Linked DNA regions of Oryctolagus cuniculus. The protein of the gene in region 1 interacts with the protein of each later gene in a pairwise test. Links are inferred from orthologs where the notes say so. Each region holds a gene or a part of one and is shown in the gene's direction. Other genes may lie near its edges. The genes, in order: PRR3 and ASF1A.

Evidence for each region.
Region 2: the proteins of PRR3 (region 1) and ASF1A interact in binary tests that used the Homo sapiens proteins (3 or more experiments, as listed by UniProt). The two-hybrid records come from large-scale screens. The link is inferred for Oryctolagus cuniculus from reciprocal best matches to the Homo sapiens genes PRR3 and ASF1A.

The regions. Positions count from the first base shown.
Region 1 is NC_091436.1:139,856,921-139,861,302, reverse strand, and holds the start of PRR3 (proline-rich protein 3), read left to right. Parts: upstream 1-1,546; 5' UTR 1,547-1,840; intron 1,841-2,042; 5' UTR 2,043-2,059; coding exon 2,060-2,159; intron 2,160-2,838; coding exon 2,839-2,901; intron 2,902-4,382. Other genes in the region: GNL1 (guanine nucleotide-binding protein-like 1), read right to left, coding at 1-51, 302-467, 873-945.
Region 2 is NC_091436.1:51,459,484-51,462,275, reverse strand, and holds the end of ASF1A (histone chaperone ASF1A), read left to right. Parts: intron 1-565; coding exon 566-742; intron 743-1,811; coding exon 1,812-2,024; downstream 2,025-2,792. UniProt on the Homo sapiens protein: Histone chaperone that facilitates histone deposition and histone exchange and removal during nucleosome assembly and disassembly.

The DNA.
Region 1 (4,382 bases):
TTCCTCTTCTCCACCTCCTCCCTGCTGTCCCGCTCGAAATGCAGCCGGTATCTAAGGAAACACGGGCCGCGGTACCCAGCGCCAGCCCGGGAGCCAGACAACTTCGCCAAGCTTTCTCTCCGGAGCCGCTGAGAGTCTCTCTCCCAGCCAACCGTTCTCTCCTTCCCACAGTAGCGAAAACCAGACTCTCGGGCCCCTTTGTCAGGGAGGGCTGCGGCGGCTTGGGGCGGGGGGAACCTCGACCCGCCAGCAGCCGGCTTGCCCTGGACGCCCGGGGCCAGAGTCCCCCCTCCACGCTCACCGATTCGGGTCGTAGCCCCGCGGACCCAGGCCCTGGGAAGGCTGCTGATTAAGCCTGCGGATGTGATGGGTCACAGACTCCCCGTCCGAGGTGTCAGTCTGCTCCTCCCGCCGCTCCCGGCTCCCGCTGCGGCTGTTGGAACTGGAGCGCAGCCCATCTTGAAGTCCTGCGGGGAGGGGCCGGTGACGCCAGCGCTGGCCGGCTCTCAGGGGCCATAAGACCCCCCCCCCACGCCCCCGCCCCGGCCCCAGCCCCGGGAGGCCTGGCTCCCCTCCACCCACCCAACTTCCTCCGCGGCTCGGCCCTCCCAGCCACGCGCCCCAGGACCCCTCCGGATGTGCGCGGGGGCAGTCGCTGCTCCAGGGAGCTGCGGGAACGGCTTCCCCTCCCCCAGCTCCCCATCCTCGCCCACCCCTTCCAGCTATGGGGGAACCCCTCCACGGCCGCCCGCGCACCTCGGCGCGCGCTCGCCGCCCCCTCCCACGCCCCCTCCCCAGGTGCAGCGGGCACACCCCTCCCTCAGAGGTGCGGGAGCCCGAGCCCCGCCCCCTCCGCCCGCTCCCGCACTGACCTCGCTTCCGTTCGCGCTTGTCCTGCAGCTGCTTCTTCTTCTGCTTCACGCTGAAGGGCTTCTTCCTCGGCATGGCCCGGACCAGTCACCGGGCCCGCCCCTCCGCCGAGCTCCCGCCGCCTCAACTGACTCCCGGGGGCAGCCCCCGCCGCCAGGGCCCGGGACCCTCGAGGAGGCGGGGCTAGCGGGTGACGTCACGGACGGGCCGGGCCGGCCGGCGGCGACTGCCGGGACGGAAAGCAGACACGGGGTGGTCACGTCTCTCCCGGAGCGAGGCGAGGGGCTGAGGGGACGGGGCAGGCGGCCGGCACGTGAGAGTCAGCGGCACCGGCGGGGCGCAGCGGCGGTGGAGGAGGAGGCGCGCGTGGGAGGATCGGGCCCGCTCCGTCACGGACGCTACCAACGGGCGCCCGCAGGAGGGGGGGCGCGTGTCATCACTACCTTGCGCTCCCGGGAGACGCTACCACTCACCTGGCGGGGGCGGCGGAGCGGAGGGCGGGCCCAGCTACCTTCGGAGGGAGGGGGCGGGGACGCGCCGAGGCGACAGCACCGAGCGGGGATTGGCCTGGGTGGAAAGCGGAGACGGAGCACCCCGAGAGGGAAGCCCGCTTGCTGGCGACTCGTGGGGCACGGCCGGAGGTCTTAAGGGGCGGGTGGCGTTCTGCCGGTTCCCGGGCGCGGACCTGCTGGGACCCGAATTTCGATGCTAACGGGCGGGTCTGCAGATCCCAAGCGCGGGCGGGAAGGGAGACCCAGGTGGGACAAGGACTTTTGGAGGGAGGTCAGAGGGCACCGAGTTGTGCCTGCGGCTGTTCCCATGGTAACAGGGCACCGGAAGTGGCGACGTTAGGACGCGACAGCCCGCTCTCAGGCCGTCCGGCCCGGAAGCCCGTGGGCTCTGCAGCACACTGTGGTGTTTCTTGGCGGAGGAGAGGGCACTTGTAAGCACTTGGAGAGATGCAGCAAAGGTAAGGTTTGAGGTTGCCGCCGTGCCTAGCAGAGCGGGAGCGGGGCGGTTTTCGGGCGGGTGCGGCCGCGGCAGGGGCTCCCCGCTGCCTCCCGGAAGTGGAATGGCGGGAGCCTCAGCCCCGCTGCCCACCGGGCTCCCCCCGGAAGCGGAAACAGCTTCCAGCGTGCCCCTTCCTCACTGCCCTCCAAATCCCGCTGCAGCCATTGCCGCAGCCACGATGCCGAAACGAAAGAAGCAGAATCCGCAGCCGCCGCCACAGCAGCCCCCACGGCCCGAGCGGGAGGAGACTGGAGACGAGGAAGATGGTTGTCCCATGGGTAAGGGAGCGCACGTTCTCGGCAGCTGGGCCAGGCTGGGGCCAGGGACTAGGCAGGTGCGGGGGAGGGGGCGCTCACGGAAGGCGCGAGGGCGCACGCGCAGGGGAAGGGGCTGTCCTGCATGCAGCTTTAAGCCAGGAGTTTACTCACCTGAACTCCTGGCCTTTATCCGGCCCCCAAACCTTTCTGGAGGAGGCGGGGGAGGAAAAGCTAAAGTGCGGAGTGCGCAGCCGCAGGAGGAGAGGTGCGCGATGTTGCAGGCTGTGGCGGGTGGGAGCGCAGTCTGAGATCAAACTAGGAGGGTAGAATGCAGTGCGGCCGCCTTTTAAGCACTCCCCTGGGGGAGGGGGAGGGGAAAAGAGCTGTTTGATTGGCCAGCAGTTCAGGTGGGGGATTGAATTAGCCCTGGAATTACCTAGGATGTTGTGGTTGCACCAGTATGAGGGAAAGACAGTGGTCAGCGTCATTCCTGCATGACCGGGTTTCCTGAGTCTCTGCTTTCTAGCAGAACATGGAAACAGCTTGGCAGAGGAAAGGGCCCACAGATGGGGTGAGAATGTGCAACACTGATGATACATAGCTCACTTCGCTGATTGAGTTAAGGAGTGCATTCTAGAAGGACATCTGAGGACAGGATCATAGCCCATTCTGATGACGGTATTTTCATGTCTACTCTTAGGACCACCCAGCCTTCTGGGCCCTCCCCCCATGGCCAATGGAAAGCCTGGTGACCCCAAGTCAGGTGAGGAGGAGGGGACCCGGATCCTTGTATTAGATGCTGGAGAAGGGTGCAAGAGGAGAAGTGAAACCTAGCAAGAATTTCACATCTTACAATCCAGGATTCGATGCCTAAGTGAATGGAGAGAAGTTATGCATTCACAGACTGGAAAAGTCATAATATTGGCGTGAAAATGCAGGGAATCAGGGTGAGAGACTGTAAAGACAGTGTAAGTGAGAGGGCTACTCTGAACATCAAGATTTTTTGTAAAGCTACAGTGGTTACAGCTGTGACTTTGATGCAACAGAACAGATTAAAAAGGCAAGTAACAGGCCCACACATAATGAAAGTGCCTCAAAAAATTGATGGAAAACAGTTAAAACATAAGTTTATCTTGGTGCCTAAAATTTTCAAAGTGCATGCATGGTTTTTTCCTAATATGTGTTTTCTGTGAATTTTTTGACGTCTTCGTGTGTGAGCTCTTCATTTATAAAGATAGAACTGAAAAAGTGGTCTTTTCGATAAATGATGCTAGATCAGTTGGATAGTCGTGTAGGAAACGAATGGAATTTAACCTCCTCACAGTCTTAAAAATAACAGTACTAGTTGGACTGCAGATCTAAGTATAAAAGGTAAAAGAAAAATTATTGTAGAAAGTAAGTGTATATTCTTGGTCTTAGAGTAGCTAACAGTTCTTAGATGAGAAATACACATACACAAATTATAAAGAAAAGATTACTATATTCAACTACATTAGGTAACATAAACTTCTTTTAATCAGATGACATTGATTAACAGGAAGCCATAGAGTAGAAGACGGTATGTTCAACAAATATAACCAATAAAGAGCTCTTATCTGGAATATAAGAAGAACTCTTCCAGACAGTTCATTAGAAAAATTGGCAGAAGACCAGAACAGATTCTGGAGATCTTAATGGACCCAAACTGTGTGAACTAGTAGTCAACATCATTAGTCATCAAATACAGAATGAAAATATACCACGTTGGAGTTGGAACTCGTATGCATTATTGATGGGATTGTAAAATGGTACAAGCACTATGGAAAACAATATGGAATTTCTTCAAAAACTTAGAACTGCCATATGATCCAGTCCCACTTGTGGATATATATCCAAAATTATTGAAAGCAGGGTCTTGAGGAGATGTTTGCCCACCCATGTTCGTAGAGTATTCCCAGTAGGCAAGACCTGGAAGCATCCCAAATGTCCATTGATAGAAGAATGGATAAGCGAAGATAAAAGTACAATGGAATACCTTAAAAAAGGAAGAAAATGCTGTCACATAACTACAACCCAGATGAACTTGGAGGACTTTCTAAGTGAAACAAGCCCGTCACAGACAAATGCTGTATGATTCCACTTACATGAGGTATCTCAAGTCAAACTCATAGAAACAATAGAATGGTGGCTACCAGGGGCTGGGGGGCAGAGGGATGGAGGAAAGGGAATTGTTTAATGGGTACGGAGTTTTAGTTTTGCAACAGA
Region 2 (2,792 bases), about 88 Mb from region 1:
TCAAATAAATAAAATCTTTTTAAAAAGAAAAACAAAAATCTGCTGTGTAGCTATTTGTGTTCAGTTTTATACTAAATTACTATTAGAATATTTGTGAGAGGTGGTTGTATAGGTACGAGAATATAAGTGTCCTGGGGAGAAAAGGAAAACTGGTATAAAAAACATTTGTTGCCAACTGGTTGTGTGGAAATAATTTAGTATTTACTAATTTAGGTCTGAAAATTATAACTGGAAAAAGTTAAAACCAATAGCACTATTGATTAAATTGTTTAAGTATTTTATAAAAAGTTATAATGAATTTGCATAATTCCTCATGAACCAACACACACAGTAACCAGAATTATTTCCCTCTGGAAGTTTAATGAAGCTACTTGAGGATACTGTGGAGAAACATGAGCTATATATCTACCTTTAGGCCAATCCCAAATGTAAGCATTTGTCTTCCCAATGTGATTTCCAAGTTTTTCTTGTTCCATGTTCAACTGAAAGTGCTCAGGGTAACTACAACTCCAATCTCGCCTGCCATTAACAGCCTTTTGTGTATGTTTCTTTTAAATTATTCCAGGCAGATGCACCTAATCCAGGACTCATTCCAGATGCTGATGCAGTAGGCGTAACAGTTGTGCTAATTACTTGTACCTATCGAGGTCAAGAATTTATTAGAGTTGGCTACTATGTAAATAATGAATATACTGAGACAGAATTAAGGGAAAATCCGCCAGTAAAACCAGACTTTTCTAAGGTAATGTCTTACTATTCCTTTTTAATTACTGTTACTATACAATTTTTTAGGCAGTTTGAGACAAAGTAAATTTGATGTCTTTGGGCCAGCTGGGCAAACTAATCATTGTTCCCTTACCATGGGTGACCTCAAACCCTTTCTCTATGCAAGTCATTAAGTATCTCTGATAAGAAATGGGCACTTGTTTACTGCTTCTTATATGGCATTTCCCATAGATCATGTTCACTTCAGCTTTTATGACATGGAAGTCTGTGTTTGTGTCTGCTTTTCATATAAACAGTTATCTATGCTTATATCAAAGTACCTATATGCTTTAGTTTTATTCTGTAGGAACAGCAGATAAAGTAAAGGTCTTAAATATTTCAGGTGATAGCAAATAGCTTAAACACTGAGAAGCTGAAATCTGTGATTCATTATTCTCAAGGATACTTAGTACCTTTATGGTTTTTCATTGGGAACTGTAACAGTTTACTAACTGGTGATTTTGAGAGGGTGCAAATCAAGTGAAGTTGAATAGGGCCCTCTGTCTGCCAGGCAATACAAGGAAAGTCACATGGCAGTAGAATAAAGTTCAACTTTCTGGTAATAAGGCTAGAATGTTTTTCATCCTGGCCAATCCTTTCATAGATCAAATTTATTGGTTATCTGTTTGGTAACTTGTACAACAGAAAAGAGAAGAAACTAGACTATTGTTTCCAAAAATGAACCATAATATTTAAAAGGTAGGAAATCACTAATAGCAAGAAGATGTATTTGGGAGAAATTTTCTTTCCCTTCTTAGGAAATAGAAGTACAAGAGTAGAAGAATAGATATTTCATAGTATAGTAAAAGATCTGAATGAATTCCCTCAGATTCTCCATATCTTGTTCCTATTAAGCCAAAATAATTGCTATGGTCCTAGTCCTTGTTTATTAGTTATGCTAAAGTGCTTTATTTGTCCTATACTTCTGTATATGAACGTAACCCTTCAGGAGTGCTAACATAAAGGACCCATTTCTTTAAGTATCTATTTGCATAGGGTGATTAAACTTTGGTAATGTTTACCATTTATATATTTCCTTCTTCTAGCTTCAAAGGAACATTTTGGCATCTAATCCCAGGGTCACAAGATTCCACATTAATTGGGAAGACAACACAGAAAAACTGGAAGATGCAGAGAGCAGTAATCCAAATCTACAGTCACTTCTGTCAACAGATGCATTACCTTCTGCCTCAAAGGGATGGTCCACGTCAGAAAACTCACTAAATGTCATGTTAGAATCCCACATGGACTGCATGTGACCACCTGCCATCCCTTTAGTACAAATTAAGCTATTAAAAATACACAGAACTATTTCCCTGAAATTCCGTAAGTACATAGTCAAGACAAAATGTGAAGAATTTGTTTAAAAACATCCTGTAGAAAGTTTATAAGAAAACCAGTATTTGAGCAAATTGTGGAATATAAATACAACTATTTTTAAGTAATTTTTTCTCTAATGTGTTATTTTATTTGTTCTGAAACTAATTTGATTAAAGCATATATATTATTTTTCTTCTCCTTTATATGTAATTAAAGCACTTATAAAGAAAAATATAAATCCTTAGACCAGGTTGTGAAGATGTCTTAGCCTCTCGGACAGTAATCTTTGGAACATTATTTTTTCTGGCCTTTGAAAAAAGAAAGTTCACTTCAACTAAGATGTTTCTTCCTGTTAAAACATAAAGTGTGGTTTTAATTTAAGGGGAAACTTTCCATTCCTTTTTGGCATGACTTTAAAAGGGGGATTGAAATGAATTATATGCTACCAAGGACTTTAGGATCTGTCCTTTTCAGGCCACCCTGAAGCCTTTTATGGTTACTATTACAATTAATGTAATGTGGGGCAGCATTTGCTTTAGTTTCTAAGATAACGAATGTACCTACATGTTTATAAAGTTCTTTGGGCTATGGTGTTTGTTTTTATAATGGTTATACAAAATTAAGACATCAGAGCACTTCTTGAATTGCTCATCATTACTGCCCAGTGAATTCAGCAAGTCAAGAACAAATACTTCCTAAGTTTAAGG